Linked DNA regions of Drosophila melanogaster. The protein of the gene in region 1 interacts with the protein of each later gene in a pairwise test. Each region holds a gene or a part of one and is shown on either strand. Other genes may lie near its edges.

The links. Proteins that work in one complex are often made in the same cells at the same time.
Region 2: the proteins of CG43322 (region 1) and CG4546 interact in a two-hybrid assay, tested with the Drosophila melanogaster proteins (one large-scale study listed by BioGRID).
Region 3: the proteins of CG43322 (region 1) and Droj2 interact in a two-hybrid assay, tested with the Drosophila melanogaster proteins (one large-scale study listed by BioGRID).

What each region holds. Positions count from the first base shown.
Region 1 is NT_033779.5:7,010,824-7,015,558, reverse strand, and holds CG43322 (uncharacterized protein), read right to left. Parts: upstream 2,164-4,735; 5' UTR 2,064-2,163; coding exon 1,977-2,063; intron 1,907-1,976; coding exon 914-1,906; 3' UTR 822-913; downstream 1-821. Other genes in the region: GART trifunctional enzyme, read left to right, coding at 1-473; CG43321 (uncharacterized protein), read right to left, coding at 3,035-3,232.
Region 2 is NT_033777.3:15,843,998-15,849,482, forward strand, and holds CG4546 (uncharacterized protein), read left to right. Parts: upstream 1-2,536; 5' UTR 2,537-2,782; coding exon 2,783-2,791; intron 2,792-2,857; coding exon 2,858-3,108; intron 3,109-3,172; coding exon 3,173-4,286; 3' UTR 4,287-4,434; downstream 4,435-5,485. Other genes in the region: spn-E (spindle E), read left to right, coding at 1-109; cv-d (crossveinless d), read right to left, coding at 527-767, 825-1,423, 1,508-1,687, 1,747-1,890, 4,435-4,662, 4,721-4,847, 4,903-5,018, 5,142-5,485.
Region 3 is NT_033777.3:13,379,446-13,386,329, forward strand, and holds Droj2 (DnaJ-like-2), read left to right. Parts: upstream 1-2,660; 5' UTR 2,661-2,699; exon of another isoform or gene 2,700-2,758; 5' UTR 2,759-2,813; intron 2,814-3,376; exon of another isoform or gene 3,377-3,667; intron 3,668-3,819; exon of another isoform or gene 3,820-4,018; 5' UTR 4,019-4,033; coding exon 4,034-5,134; intron 5,135-5,224; coding exon 5,225-5,335; 3' UTR 5,336-5,838; downstream 5,839-6,884. Other genes in the region: CG8870 (uncharacterized protein), read left to right, coding at 695-767, 824-1,373, 1,451-1,898; mRpS21 (mitochondrial ribosomal protein S21), read right to left, coding at 1,942-2,058, 2,118-2,264; CG9799 (uncharacterized protein), read right to left, coding at 6,265-6,884.

The DNA of each region.
Region 1 (4,735 bases):
GTCTGCAGCGAGCCACGCAAGCCGGAATACCTTCGTTGGTCATCTCCCACAAGGATTTCGCTAGCCGAGAGGTCTATGATGCGGAACTTACGCGAAATCTGAAGGCGGCTCGTGTGGATTTGATCTGCCTTGCCGGCTTCATGCGTGTCCTGAGTGCTCCATTCGTTCGAGAGTGGCGTGGACGGCTCGTCAATATCCATCCCTCGCTGCTGCCCAAGTATCCTGGTCTGCATGTCCAGAAGCAGGCCTTGGAGGCGGGCGAAAAGGAGTCCGGCTGCACGGTTCACTTCGTGGACGAGGGTGTGGACACGGGAGCGATCATTGTTCAGGCTGCTGTTCCCATTTTGCCCGATGACGACGAGGATTCGCTGACCCAACGCATCCACAAGGCTGAGCACTGGGCTTTTCCAAGGGCATTAGCAATGTTGGTCAACGGAACAGCTCTCATTTCTCCGGAAGTCAGCAGTCAGTAAATGCCAGCTTGTGAAACCTGACAATTTAAATATAACAAGCAGGGATGAGTTTATCTTACTCGAAGACTTTTTGTCAAATTAGTTATAATTATAATCTTGAACATTCAGCGATAATTTGACGTTAATAAGTTGTATAGCAATTTTTATAGGTTTAGGCTGCGTTTCTTTTTATATAAAAACTACAAAAATATATTAATAAACTTCAAGTTTGATTAAAAAAATCGCAAAAAATTTGTACACATTAATTAAACTATATATAAAAAAATCCAATATTTTTTATCACTCGATTTACAACAAAGAACATATCAATGATTTTAATGTTATAATAACAAAAAGGTCTCTTGGATTATTGAACTATTTCGTACATATATTGTACACATAAACGTACAGCACCTTAATCTACATCTAATATCACATATTTTACAATCACACATTTTTAATTACAATAGTTTGCTAATTAGGGAAAATAAACTTGTACTAGCGCTGCCCTGATTCTCTAGATTGCTGCTGGGCTTAGATTTCATTTCGGGTCTGATTACGTTACGTTGCAATTCCGGATCCTTAAATATAGGTTCGGCCATTCTGTCGAGATGCAGGCGAAAGAACTGATTTTCCAGAATGGGCACTATTAGATTGTACTTGTCAATGAGTTTGTTCAATTGCTTCACATCGTCCTGGTGATTCAGCGTGAATATTTTCCAGGCTGCCAGATCGTCCGGGCGCTGCAATGGCCATTCGCCGTAGTATTTGCGCTCCTGGCGCAGTTTCGTCTTCAGCTGAGCAATCGCATCGCGAATATCCTTGCCCAGGCTTATCCATTCCGGCGTGAAGCCGTTGTCTAACATAATCTTGTTCAACTTGTGGGTCGTAAAGTCCAGATAGGGATTCTGCGACTGAGCCGAGGACAGGGGCTTTCCAGACCCGTTTAGATTGTTAAAGTCACCCTTGGACATGGCCTCCTGAATGAGATCCTCGACCACACGATCAATACCGTACTTGGTCTTAATAGCATGTTTCCGAAAGTGGCTGCCGCCCTTGGACATTAGTGTTTTCTCTCCGGCAGCCGCCTTGTCGATGCGGTGCTCCAGGACGCGTTCCTGAGCCTTCATGGCGCGCACCTGCTGGTACTGCTTTTGCCGCTGAAATGGAGTTCCCACTCCGATGCCCTCGTTGGACAGATATTGCCGGTGCTGCGGCGCCGTATGCTTGATGTCAAACTCCATGGCCCCCTCCTCGTCCTCCTGAATGTTTCGCCTTCCCTTGGCGAACTTTTCCTGCAGCACACGGAAAGCCTCGTCCACCTGCTGGAAGCGTTCGGCACTGGCCTCCTCCGTTCCCGAATCGGGATGCACCCGTTTCACCAGATCCAAGTAGGCGTGGCGTACCGTATTCTGATCAGCTGATTCGTGAACGCCCAGGATGCGGAAGCATTCCTAAAGATAGCAGGTGCAATATTGCATAATGGTTCGAAATGCTAGAAATCTTGAGACAACTTGTACTCACCATATAAACCTCCTTGCGCTTGAGATGCAGCAAGCGACCGAATCTGATTGCTACGGATCCTTTGAACAGATTCCCAGCCAACCACATTTTTACTACACTTTATGGAGTTATTTTCTAAACAATTTTCGAGCTACGCTGTCTGACATTAAAGGAAATTCTACAACCTAAACCATTTGTTTATGTTTTTCGTGCGATCAGCTGTTGATAATAGTTGTTTTGTTTTGTAGGTGTAGGTGTAGTATAAAAATACTGCAAGACATTTTTAGTATTTTAGCCGTTATAGTCACTCCAGGGATGCATCAAATTTAATTATTTGAATTATGCCAAACGTTATGTTTTTTGAGATCATAATATTTGAGAACCAAGAAATATTTAAAAGTAAGAATGGCAAAATAAAAATATAAGCTAGGTGTACGAGTACTGATAAATGTGTGCACATATTTAGCATGTTAGTATACGAAATTTGTTAAATGTATGCGTGCTTGTTCTAAATGAAAGTCTAACCCAAATCTAAAGAAGCAAATTTCCACACTTACTAGTTGCAATTAAAGCCTGGCGATGACCAAATCTGCGGGCGAGCAACGCTCATCTGCAATTCAAACTACAATTCATGCTCTACATAGACTGGAAACTCGCGTTTGTTCTAGGTAATTGTGTCATAATTAAAAATTATTTAATTGCGCGACCTACACTAAAAAATCTTGAATTATAAAATATAAAGCTGACGTTGGGTAAGATGCTTAATATGAAATGGACACCTTCCCTAGAAAGAAACCATTCTAAATACATGAATGAAAAGGCACATTTATTGTTAAAAACTTGTTTGATTTTGAGCTCTTTGCACTAATTATGATTCAATTGATCTGTGCACTTATTACCCTGCTTTGAATTTGGTTACCGGTCTGGGCAGTTGTTTGCGTTGAGTTTTCTTTCCTAGCATCCCGTTTGGCCTGTTTGGATTGGCACATTAGCATATATCCAAACAGGATATGCACAAGTTTGCTCCAAATTCATTTGGTTCACCATGTAGAAGTTCCATATGCGCCATGGTTGTTATATTAATCATCTTCCGAGACATCGGGCGCATAAAGATCAAATACTTCGAGGAATTGGGCCAATTTCTTGCCCATAAATCCGCCCAATATAATGCCGGGTATAACTGTGATGAAAACAGCGATGTACTTGTATTTATTGTTCTCCTTTCGAATTTTATTTATTTCTTTAAAGTCCTTGAAGTTGTCTCCACGAAATGGCATTTTTGTGTTTTTATTTCGGTAACTGATTTTAGTGTGTGTTCGGAAATGGAATACGACATTATTCTGATAGAAATTTCAAGACTTTCTCCGGCCAAATTGGGACAGGCACGCCCCAGAACCTAAACGCGGATCCAAAACCCTCATCGGAATATTTGAGTGTGCGCCCTATATGGAACTTCCGTTCTGCTGGCTCAAACGACTGATTTTGTCAACCGTCTGATCGTCCCTCTTCAATTGGCTTGCAATTGTCTACATTTCCGTCTAAGGAAGGGTATTGCCTTTTATTTTAATATTCGACCTGCAGCAGTGTTGTGTTTGTTTGTTGATTAACGGAGCGTAGAATAAAAGGTGTCATTTGGAAAGAATTTGTGTTTTCAAAAGGAATTGTAAAACTAAACAAGTTTTAAATGTAATTAGATAGTTCCCTTTATTCATATTCCCTTAACTAATGCTTTAGCATTAGGAAAACTAAATTTCCTTTTCTACTTCCTAAGAAGTCAAGACACATTTTAATTGCACCGAAATAATAATCATGACCTGTTTTTGAGAAGGAAGTAAAAACTTATTCGAAAATGGATAGATGGGAGTCTAATGATCGCGTGTACCCTATAATTAAATTGTTTTATTCCAGTGGATGTGTAAATTGGATCGATTTATCTGCTTTATATTTCTACTGGAAGCAGTGCATTATTTATCATCATTTTCGTTTTATCTGTTTACAAGCATTTATTTTTAATTTGAAAAGAAAGGAAGTGAAAAGCTTAATAAATCATTCTTGTTAAAGGAATGATAAACTAAAATTAATTAACTCTAAATTCGGCTATTCTCATCGGCTAAGTTAATTGGTTTTAACCAGGTCCAAGTGCAAACAATGGTATTTAGTTAAGATTGAGTTAACATTGAATAATCATTTACATACCACAAATATAGAATTGATTTTTTGTCTAAGAATCCCAGCTGACTTTTCATTGATGGTTTCTCACTGTTATCAAAATTTTTCTTAAGCCCCTTCAATTTGCCTTTTTGGACTCTTCATCCACACAGAGATAAAGTGTTCCTTAATAGAAATCCTTCGGGTTGGGAAATCCCACCATAAATAGTAATTGTTGTGCGCAATTCTATAGAATTCCTAAGAAACGAGTGCGAAATTCCTTTTAGCGACGGATGTGACGTAAGGTTACATATACGAACAAAATATAAAAAGGCATAAGATCTTCTAATGGCCATCGATACTAAAAACAATGAATATCCTTGAAGCACTTTGAAAACTATACACACAAAAAAGGATAACTTGCGGGAGAAATTTTAGAAGTTATTTAAAAGAGAAGATAATCTTGATTTGAAAAAGTACCTGCAATAACCCTAACTATTAAATGAGTAGTTTTTGTTGATCATTTGTAGATTCCATTTCCGTTTAGCATTTCGCACGTTTTGCACAGTTTATGACTTCATAAAAAAAATAATGGGACAAGAGAGAGCAGTGTGTAACCAAACAGAGGCAGC
Region 2 (5,485 bases), on another chromosome or scaffold:
TTGCAAACTGTGCAATCAGTTGTTGGAATCGGTTCCCCAGCTCCGTTTGCATCTCCTGACCATATTGCATCGTGATCGTGAAAAGCAAATCGACTATTGCAACCAATAAGAATGGTTACATCGTTTAATATGAAAACAGCTGATTTTGAACTTTTTGATTTCTCATTTCTTTTCTTAAAGGACACACTTCACTTGTTTGGTTTAAAAAAATGACGTATTCATGGAATGAAAACAAGTTTTGAATTGAATCTAAACCTACAGAAATCTTCATTACGTTAAATATTTTCTATGTTATGTTGAATGATCTCTCTTCGTTCAATTACGAAGTGTAAAATGTGAAATATAATTTTTTGTTAATTACATCTTTAAAGATATCATTAAATACGAAGACAGCTATACTAACCAGTTCATTACAAGCAAAAATCCATAAACTGCTTGCTGTTTATAAAAATCAAAGCCCTGGGGCGTGCATGTTCTCCCTTTTTGGGCTCTTTTTTTTATTTTAGATTAAACTCACACATTATATTTATGCAACTACAACTACATCGGAGGAATTCTGCAGCGGCACAGGAGTTGGAGTGTTTGCCTCCAGCTCGCAGATCGTATAATTCTGCATGCGGTTTAGGGGCTTGCTGCACAGCCCACACATCTGGTGCTTATACACGCCGTATATCTCGAAATTCAGGATGTTGTACAGATCGAACTGGATGGTGGAGGACAGCTGCGTACACTCCACAATTAAAATATTTTGCTCGTTAAGTTCCACGCTGAAAGGGCATATGGCGTTTATAAAATTGTATATAAAAGCTAAAAAGCATTCTTACCGGAAGTCGTAGTCACTAGTCTCAATTGGCCATTGATATGGCTTTTTGCGCACGTTGTGCGGTGTTTGATCCTGGTTAAGATATATGAGCACTGGTTCATCCGTGGGCAGGCTGCTGTTGTCTGTGCGGGCGCGGAAGTTGAAGTAGTTTTGCCCGATATGGACTCGTAATCCATAGTTGGTGGACAGTCCTTGAACAGGCGAAGGCGTAACAAACACTGCAATCTGTGGCAATGGCGAACAGTCAGCCACCAGCAGCGTGAGACAGTCGGGACGCACCGCAATCTCTCTGAGATTGATTAGGTAATCATCGAAGGTATTGACTATGCCATTGATTACTGAGCAGGAGCGCTTAAGTCCTGAGTCGAAGGTAAGCTCGTGGGAAGCGTCGAACTTCGAGTCCAGCTTGTAGAAGAAGGGGATCTGATGGAAACGCCACTTCACTCCGTTGACCTCCACAGCCAGCCTGAACTGGTCCTGAGGAGTTTGCATTGATATATTTATCTCCTGGCTCATATGCAGACTGTCCACCTTGTCGGCGGATAAGGCGGACACTAAGTGGTCCAGTCGATTCGACCACAGCTCGAACCAGGCGGGCATCTTAAAAAATATAAAGGTGAGTTGATTGGTCTTTTATATATCTTTTCGGAGCGGAAAGTAATTTGATATATCTGATATACTTACATTGTCAAACTTCAGGTCCATGTCGTATTGTGTGATCGAGGTGAAGTTCTCAAAGTTGCTACGCTTGCAATACCTGGAAGTGGGTATGGGCGAGAACTTCAGTACCTCCTTGGGACAGAAGTCGGTGTCCGTCAGCGAGATCTTGTCGGAGCGGAGGAAGGCACGGGCATGCTCCGAGGGCTGGCGAGATGAAAACGTTGGGTTAAAAGAGAATCCACTTCGGGCTTATGTACACTTACACCAGCTCTAGCTGCAAACTGCACCGTGGAACCCTTCTCCGGGCACTCGCTCTCCTCGGTGGCCAGGCCAAACACCACATCGCCATTCAGAGTGTGAGGTCGCTTGGTAAACACCAGCGGTTCATAGGTCAACTTGGTGCAGGCCTAAGGAAAATTATGCAAATGAGTGAGAAAATCCTGTATCCTTAAGTGAAACACCATGTGTTTTTTTTAATGCTTTTTAAAATAAACCTAAAATCTGTCAACTTGATTTTCCAATTATGAAATATGGAATACAATTTAATTTCCTAGCCGGTGGTTCTTCACACAGTATGTCCCAGTAGGTCAATAGCCAGCTATGCTCGGCACGAGTCAAGTGCTCCTTTTGGGTGGCGGGTGTGACACCCTGTAAGTATTATGTAGTTACACTGCTTTCCTCAAGCGTGGAGGCAAGAAAATGTGGGGTTCAGCTGTTCGCTGAAGCTCCAGGCGAGTGGAGTGGGCCACATTACCATGACGAAACAGCAGACAACGGAGCCACAACAACTGCAGCAACGATTAGCGAACCCACACACATCCTGACTGTATGATTGTATGGCCCTCTTCCGCCCCACCGTTCGTGCCTGCGTGCCACCTTACTACACACACACACACACACGCAACCCATCCTTTCAAGCACTCAAGCAGTCGCCGCAATTGTTGGCCCACATTCGTGGGTTGTTTGCGTCCCGGAATCGAGACCGAGAACCGAGTCTGGCAACCGGACTAGAGTAAAGCAGGCCTGGCGGTGTAAGTAGCCCCGTTTGATCAATACGACTCGGTGGGAGCTCAGTAGAAGGCATCCAGTTACGCTACTGTTCAGACGAATTTCTCCTGTCGTAAATTTGTTTTGGGAAAAAATTACATTTTCTTTTATTTTGTAAGAACGCTGTAAAAATCTGGAAAAAAGACCCAGTGCTCTCGACCTATTTTATTTCGGTACCGCCATCGGGAGCATTCAGTTGCGTTGCTTTTATAAATTTATGTTTACTTGATTCTCGGTCGGACAAACTGCAAAATGACTTCGGTAAGTGATATATAAGAAGCATAATAGATATGGATTCTTATGTAGCCACTTTACCTGCTTCTCCAGATCGAGTCAAAACGCGTCCAATATCGAAAGTATTTGGAACGCGCCGGAGTCATCGATGCCTTAAGCAAGGCTCTGATTAAGCTTTACGAAGAGCAGAATAAGCCGGAGGATGCCATTCGCTTTGTACGCAAGTTTATGTGCGAGAGCTGCCCGGACGATGCCCAGTACGATGTAATGAAGAACGACCTCGAGGAGGCCAAGACCCACATCTCGAAACTGGAGCAGGAGCTTGAACGGCTACGCGGACAAATGTGAGTTTCTAAGATCGCGTCTTGTCTGTCCAGTCTTGATTTAGATTCTATTTACACTCAATAGCAAAAAGTCACCGGAGGAGTACCAGGAGCTCACTACTGAGGGCTACAAATCGCTCATGGATGATGAGGAGAACGTGAGCTCACTGCTGCGCAAATACCTGACTCCGGAATTGCTGGAGGAGTACATGCTGGTCACCACACCTGCGCCGGTGGATGCCTACCTATACGATTGCGCCGTCTCCGGATTCGAGCACCACGACGCGCCCGTGGGCATTTTCGCGGCAGATGCTGACAGCTATGACGTGTTCAACAAACTCTTTGATCCGATCATAAAGGACTATCATGGCCAGATGGACAACGAGAACGATGTGCTGCAGAAAGACCCAGACTTTGGCAACGTGGACGAGATCGAGAACTTGGATCCGGAGCGCAAGTACATTCTGTCCGCACGAATCAGATTGGCTCGCAATATCGAAGGTCTGCCCTTCTTCCCCAAACTGACCGAGAAGCAATTCATAGAGGTGGAGGAGAAGGTGCGTTCGGCCACGGAGACAATGGATGGCGAGCTGATTGGCTCCTATCTGACAATGGCGGACATCGATGCTGAGACCCAGGCGGAGATGGTCAAGAGACATATATTATTCCAGCGCGGCGATGAGAAGCTGACCACAGCCGGCTGCTATCGTTTCTGGCCAACTGGTCGTGGTGTCTACCACAATCCCGCCGAGACCTTCTTGATCTGGGTGAATCGCCAGGACCATGTGCACATTATGTCCATGGCACAGTGCGGCGACTTGGGCGATGTTTACAATCGCCTTGTCAACGGTCTAACCGAACTGGAGAAGACGTTGGCCTTTGCCCGGCATCCGCGTTATGGAAACCTTACGGCTTGCCCCACCAATTTGGGCACCACCCTGCGGGCTTCGGTGCACATCCGTCTGCCGCTACTCAGCAAGGACCCCGATCGTCTACTCGCCCTCGCCGAGGAACAGCAGCTGCAGGTACGCGGCACCGATGGCGGCGAGCTGTCCACCGTGGAAGATGGTGTCATGGACATATCAAATAAGAGGAAGCTTGGTTTCACCGAGTTCGAACTGGTCAAAACTCTGCAGGATGGCGTTGTGACCCTGATTAACGCAGAGGAAGAGCTCGAAATATCCGGACAGGAGGGTTAGAAACAAATAGCCAATACTTAAAAACCTTGTAAAGCAATTAATATCACTATAAAGTACTCACGAACACTCACAGACGAACACTTAGAGAAACAGGAGAAACGTATCTTTGGTTAAATAAATTTGTCCCTAGCCACAGACAATCACTCACCTTCCAGTCGTCCTCGTCATCCTTTGAATTTCGCTGAACCTGGCCGGTCAGCTTGAACCAATTGGACTTGGTCGATGCCAGCACGTCCAGGGTAATGTTCCATCTATGAAGTGCATCCGCAGCATGATTTTCGTTCATGTGGTCCGTGTGCTCCAATGTAAGGCCGATCTGCTTGCCTTTCATGTCCGACGTTTTCAAAACGTCTTCGGCACAAAAGTTACCTTCGATCTGAACGAAAATTGGTTTTAGCTTTAAATATTGTTAAATATTTAATTTTATTTCTCACCCTGGTGTTCTTCTCGTTGTACATAAGCATGGTAAAGTTGCGATCGTGGCCCAGGTGTATGGAACTTAGCTGGGTGAAGCCAAATATGTACATCAAAGCATTGACCACCATATTGCCGGAGAACCCACTGGAAGTGAAGTGATTAGCTGAGTAGCAAATCGGTTTCGAAATTCAAAAATTACTTCTCCGTGAACTCGGACTTTAGCAGCATCCCCCTGTACTTGATGAGCTCGTTGAGATTGGTGGTCATGCTCAGTCGGACGCCCAAATCCGTCATTGGGTAGCTAAATAGTTGAACCTGCGAGCTTGACTTTATTATTATTCTTAATTTTACCCATTTTCAGATGCTTAAAGTAGTTAATTAAATTTAGTTAATTTATTTCATATATTTTGGTATTATTTTTCTCAACAAAACACTTACCACATCGTTCCGACCCTCGGGCACCATGATCTCTTCGAAGGGCGCCGCCGCTGTCTTCGTGATCAAACCCCTGGTCTTGGTCACCGCCCGCGACTTGAAGGACAGGCCACTGGTCAGGTTTTGGGGTCGGGAGAAGGAGTAGCGCCTGCACTTACTGCCACTCTCGTTCAGATGCAGTTCGCTGCTAAAGGGGATGTAGATGAGGAAGCCCTGCTCCCGGTTGATCTCGTGATCGAGGTTGAGGAACGGATTGTAGCTACGACTCCGCACCGAGGCGTATGAAGAGTATCGGGCATCGATTTCCAGCGTGTGCTTGGTTATGGGCGAGTTCCGCTGCTCTGTTA
Region 3 (6,884 bases), on another chromosome or scaffold:
TGAGTAAATTGGCCGCATGAGCGAATTATCGATGCATTCGGGGAACACTTAAGCACGTTTGGGAATCCATTGAATTAAAAGGCCACCGGAGAATAGCTCAAGTATCTGCACTTGCTACTTTCACACACCTACACACACACAAGCAATGTCAATAAATTCCTATATAAAATTTACTTTATAGAAAGCACACAAAAAGTATTCTGTTTCTTTTATTATAAATCACTTCTTTAAAAATCGACCTGACTTGTAACTTGTTTTATCTCTCAGATTTCTAGTTTACGTGAAAAGGTAGGCAGGTCTGCTGCGTTCGAGGAAAGAAAGTATTCTGAGCCGTATACCGTGGAACACTGCGGCCACAAAAGCTTCATTTTGTCTCTCCTGCCGCAAAAAGCTATCTAAGTTATTCTCATAAAGAGAGAAAATCACTCAAAGCACACATATGGTACTCAACAGCAAAATTCTAACCAGAAACCGTTTTCTGCATCCGAAACTGTTTTCATAATGACATTTTTAAATAGTTCCGTAATATTTGAGAGCTCTGTCGCTACTAGCATAAAAAATTGTTCTTTTGATGAGCAATAAATTGATTAAAAATTGAATAAAACTACTCAGAACAATGTTAAAAATAAGAATAAATAGCTTCGACAGTCCTAACAGTCTTGAACAGTTGTATGTGAAATATTCGTGGATCAACATGTTGTTCGGACTTATAGGATCATTTTTGCTTATGCTGCAAATAATTCTTGTGCCTTATTCAAATGGTGCAGGTAACTTTCAGCATGCATAAACTTTGTACGCAATTTAAAATCTATCCTTCCTTCAGGGTGTCAATTTGATACGGAATGCGTGAATCTGGATAAGTGTCCCAGGACCAGAGCAGTTATGAACTCATCCAGGAAAAATATAATAGGTCTTAGAAGATGCGGCACTAATAAAGTGTGCTGCCCCAAGTGGGAAACGTATCTGCCACACGATACTTGTGGACAATCAAGAAGAAAACCTACGAAGGGCAAAATACCGGCGCTGAATGAGTTTCCCTGGATGGCCATGCTGTTATATGGAAATAAAAACAATTTGTCCCAGAAGCTGGTACCAAAATGTGGTGGATCCCTAATAAACAACTGGTACGTCCTGACCGCAGCGCACTGCGTGGAGTATCCATTTATGGACTATCCGTATGCCCTCAAAACAGTGAGACTGGGCGAACATAACACGTCCACAAATCCCGATCGGGCTATTGTGAATGGAAGAAGACAGTACGCTCCTCTTTATATGGAAATTGAAGTGGACCAAATTATTACGCATGAACAATTCAACCGGGGAAGGCGGCTGATAAACGACATAGCACTCGTGCGTCTTAAGTTTCCTGTGCGGTGAGTAATGATTCTCCTCTGGTCGAAATAGAAGTAGGATATGAATTGAAATAATATATCTTTATATCTTCCTATAGCTATACGAGAGCCATCCAACCTATTTGCCTTCCAAGAGCCCAAAAATTGGCCGCGCATAAGCGAAAGTTTCAAGCATCCGGCTGGCCAGACATGGGACAAGGAATTGCAAGTGAGGTACTCTTGCGCAGCTTCATCGCGGAACGGCATCCAGATGTGTGCAAATCAAATTATGACTTTAATTTGGGCAGTCAGATATGTGCTGGTGGTCTGGATGGGAATGACACCAGTCCCGGCGATTCCGGGGGACCCTTAATGGAGACCGTGATACGTGGAAAGGTCACACTCACTTATGCAGCCGGCATAATCTCCTACGGACAGAAGCCCTGCGTACTTAAAACTTGCAAGCCAGCATTTTACACAAAAACTTCATACTTTTTTGAATGGATAAAATCGAAATTGCAAAGTCCATTTATCGACAGCGACAGCAAATCTCGTACTAGAAAATAAGCAATTTATTTAATTCCTACATTTTATTGCCTCAAAAACTAGTTTAACTGCATCCAGGAAAAGGTTCGGCGCGATTTTTGCGCAGTACGAACTGAATTTTTCGGTTCATGTCCTCGTTGTAAATGGCCTTGCATTTCTCGAAGTTGATGCGACGACGAACCTATACAATAGTTTAATACAGTAAATAATAATAAATAGTTAAGTTATTTAAAGTCGAACCTGATACGGCTTTTCGTAGAATCGCGTGCGGCGAAATTGGTCGAGCAGTTCTTCTTTTCCCAAGACGCGATTTAACAGACGACACGCCTCCTCCACATTATTGTTTTGCACCAGAACGGTGCGGGCCAGAAACTGCACGTGTCTCATTTCGGATAAGTAGTTTTATTTTATAAAGTTTTCCAAATGTTTATTAAATAATCGGCTTTCAAAACAGTGTGACCATTTACTGTACTGCTAAACAGCTGATGAATATCACTAACCAGGGCTAACGATTGCTAATAAGAATCGTGGACTCAGAAGGAGTACTTTGAGAACCACTCAACTTAATAAATAAGAAAAATATTTATTCAACACAGTATTTATTAATGCATTGCCAAAATTATTTCTGTAATGCCCATCACACTTAAGAAATACATATTATATCCCATCAAATTATCAAAAATTGCTAATCACCTGAAAATGACTAAAATACCAGTTTTCGGACCTTTGCGGTGCGAGGCAACCCTGATGTTGTGGTTTTTCTTGCCGTTTGCCGCTCTGGTCACACTGGTTTCCAGTTTTCTTCCTAGCGTGGCGGCCATAGTAAGCTGTTGAAAAGTATTCGACGTAAATTAAATTTGTTGTAAAAGTGAAACTTCCAGGAATCGGGCTGCGAAAGTTACTATTTGCTTTAGGCACGACACGACACGAAAAAAGGTGAGCTGGGGCGGCTCTGGGCTAATTAAGATTACCACCTGATTTTGCACATTTCGTCTCGCATTGTGCGGTTTGCCAATGTGTGTGTCTACTTGGTAGACACTTCCTTTGCGCTTGGTTTTCTCATCTCTGTCGTTAAGTAATCATCGATAATTGTTTTTTGTCAGAGAATTTGCCTTCGATTTTTGGCATTAGATTTGCAAAATCGATGGCCATCTAGCTTTTTTTCTCTTCTTTGTTCAATCGAATTCTTCTGACGCAGCGTCTTGCGCGGCACATGTTGGTACGCATACAAGCGCAAAGTCTGGTGCATGTGTGTGCTAGGCACTGGTGAAAATATAATAATTGTATCTATTGATTTGCCTGCTAAATCGAAGGCTGCTTCTAGAATTCATTTCCATTCTTATTTTCGACTCTGCCCTTTCTCCTTTCATTTGTTCCCCTTTTCGTTCTTTTACGGTTTTTTCATTATTACCCTCTCCGCTTTGCAGTCGCCGTTCGCAAAACCAGGGCTGCAATGCGCTGACGAAAACTTCTAGAAACTGTGTGTATGTGTGCGTGCGAAAGAGAAGCGGTTGTTGTCGAAAGGGGGAAAGAGAGCGTCAGCTGCTCGCCGTATTGAAATACGACAATTGTTCTAGAAAATCGACTAGAAAACGTCGCAGTTATTTTCGCGAACACATGGCGGCGTAACGACCTTGAATCCCGGGCTCTAGCTTCCGGCAATGCCTACTATTTTCCGTTGCCCCCCAAATTACACGGAAAAAAATGGGTGATGGCATCAAGTCACAGCTGTAGAAATCAATAAACAAGAAAGGGTCATATGATCGAGTGGTTTCTGGATTTTGAAAAATGTATTTCTACAAAAAAAAATGGGTAACAAAATATAGGTTACTGATTTTTGTTTACAATACTAGTTAGAGAGGAATCAGCCCTTTGAACTATGAAATGTCATTAGATATAAAACTGACAATAACTTCCATCGGGAACCTAGCTGCCATAGAAACAGCACCACAAAATAAATTTTTTTTTTTCATTTTTTATAAGAACTGGCATCCAAATCGGTTGAAACTTCAAAAATTTTCGGTATTACACAACTTCATAATTTCTACCTATATATGCCTGGAGCATACACAAATCTGTTCCCCAATCTGTTATTTACAAGCTCCCAGATAGTAATTACGCACTACTTCGTCTGTTCACAGTAAACAGCAAACAAAATGGTTAAGGAGACTGGATATTATGATATACTTGGCGTGAAGCCTAATGCCACGCCCGACGAGCTGAAGAAGGCTTACCGCAAGCTGGCCCTCAAGTACCATCCGGACAAGAACCCCAACGAGGGCGAGAAATTCAAGGCCATTTCGCAGGCTTACGAAGTGCTGTCCGATGCGGACAAGCGACAGGTGTACGACGAAGGCGGCGAGGCGGCCATCAAGAAGGGCGGCGCAGATTCCGGTGACTTCCGCAATCCTATGGACTTCTTTGAGAAGTTCTTTGGCGCTGGATTCGGAGGTAGTGGCGGTGGACGCAGGCGCGAGAGGCGTGGCAAGGACGTGGTGCACCAGATGTCCGTACAGCTGGAGGAGCTGTACAATGGAGCGACCCGCAAGCTGCAGCTCCAGAAGAATGTGATCTGCGACAAGTGCGAGGGTCGCGGCGGCAAGAAGGGCAGCATTGAGAAGTGCTTGCAGTGCCGTGGTAACGGTGTGGAGACACGGGTTCAGCAGATCGCCCCCGGCATCATGCAGCACATCGAGCAGGTGTGCCGCAAGTGTTCGGGAACTGGCGAGACCATTCAGGAGAAGGACCGCTGCAAGAACTGCAGTGGCCGCAAAACGGTGCGGGAACGCAAGGTATTGGAAGTGCACATTGAGAAGGGAATGCGGGATGGCCAGAAGATCGTGTTCACGGGAGAGGGCGATCATGAGCCGGAATCTCAGCCGGGCGATATTATTATTCTTTTGGACGAGAAGGAGCACTCCACATTCGCGCACGCCGGACAGGATTTAATGATGAAGATGCCGTTGCAACTTGTCGAAGCGCTCTGCGGATTCCAGCGAATCGTTAAAACGCTCGATGATCGCGATCTGATTGTGTCCACACAGCCCGGCGAGGTTATCAGGCATGAGATGACCAAGTGTATTGCCGAGGAGGGTATGCCCATTTTCAAGAACCCCATGGAGAAGGGCACGTTGATCATCCAGTTCGAGGTGATCTTCCCGGAGGTGATCAATCCGTCGGTGGTGCCCACGCTTAAACAGTGCCTACCCCCGGCGCCGGAGGTTGACATTCCAATCGATGCAGAGCAGACGGTTTTGGTGAGTATTTCAGTAGTAGTTTATATCACGATATATAAATAATATATTATTTATAATTAATTTATTTATCGATTTGCTTATCTTTCGCAGGAGGACTTTGATCCCAAGCAACGTCGCCAGCAACACCAGCGCATGGCCTACGATGAGGACGATGGCGGCTATCAGGATGGCCCACGCGTCCAGCAGTGCACATCGAGTTAAGCGCCCCCGCTGCGTGTTGCATCCCCGGACACACAGCCCTAATAATACCCCAACCAACAAGCCGTAATAATATGTAAACCAGCTCCCGGAACACTGTAATTGCGCTTGCAAGTGCCGAAGAACTCCCAAAAGCACCTTAAAACACCATCCAATTCACACTAGGAGGCCCAACCAATCGAGAGATCTAAAGTTATTTCATGCAAGCTACGATATTTAGGTATAAATCAAAGAAACTTATCAGATATATGCACTATGTCTATAACGCGTGGTTGTTTGTAAACCAACATTTTTCTTTATGTTTATGTTGCGTTGGATTGTCAAAGAATCGAAAACGGAAACTGAAACTAAACTAAACTGAAATTGAAATTAGCCGCCACTAGAACCGTATCTAAAGTCCGCGCCAGCGAACACGTCTAGGAACAAGTTTAAGTTATTTAATTCCAGCATAAATAAAAGCGTTAGTTTAAACGGATATAACAAATAAATAATTAATACACAATTTCAACCCAAATGCTGTATATTCTTCTTCCCATAGTTCCAGTATCACTTGCCTTCCTCCGGCTATCTATTGATTCCATAATCGCTGCATAGTCACCCGCAGGTGTGAATCATTCGAATAATGCCAATTGGAGATATCAGGCATATGGCAGTAGTTTCGTCTTGAGTACATTATTTAAAATGCTATCTGGGATAAGTAAAAGATAAAAAGAAAGATAAGGATAGTTTGGGATATATATGGTAATGCCATTAAATCGTTAAGGATATAATGAGGGATTTTGTAGTTGTTGAGGATTATAAAGCATCCTATAAATGAATCTGCGGACCTGCCTGTCGCAAGGAATAACATCAAAAGCAAATTCAAAATGTAAAATGTTTTGTAAATTTATTTACAAAATTTCAAAATGAACTACAACATAATCTGGTGGAAACTAGTGCGCAAAGTTTCGGAGAGCGGCCACAACTCCAGTTCCATAGATGAGCTTCTCCTCCACACGCTGCCAAGCCTCCTGCTGCACCTGGGACACAGTGCGCAGCTCCTTTACCAAATCCGGGAACTCCGTCAACCCGAGACCGTGGGATCGCAAGAAGACGCTTAGATACGATTGAGCCAGCTCAAAGTTCAGATTGGTTCCAAACATGAACTTAACGAGTTTGAGGAACTGCAGCATGGCAAGGAGTGTTCCTCCAGCCTCCGGGTGCAGAGATTTGATCTCAAAGTCAACCATCGATGGTCCTAGTTGGGTCAAGTGCGCCACAGCCGATGCGAAGTCCAGGGAGTCAGCAGTTTCCTCCAGCAGCTGGCCAAAGGCAGTAAGATTGTTGAGAGTAGAAGCCTTCCGAATCCGGGATTCATCCTCCTCCTTCTGACCGTTCTCCACATCGAAGCGCAGTTCCAGTCCCGAAACCGTGGGCAGGAAGAATGGGGCCTGTTTGGGAGCTTTTGGTGGTGCCTTGGGCTTGTTACGTTGCTTGATTAGCTCCAAATCCAATAGATTCTGCCAACGGGATGCAGCCAACCCGGATAGCGTTATCAGTTCCTCGGACAGCT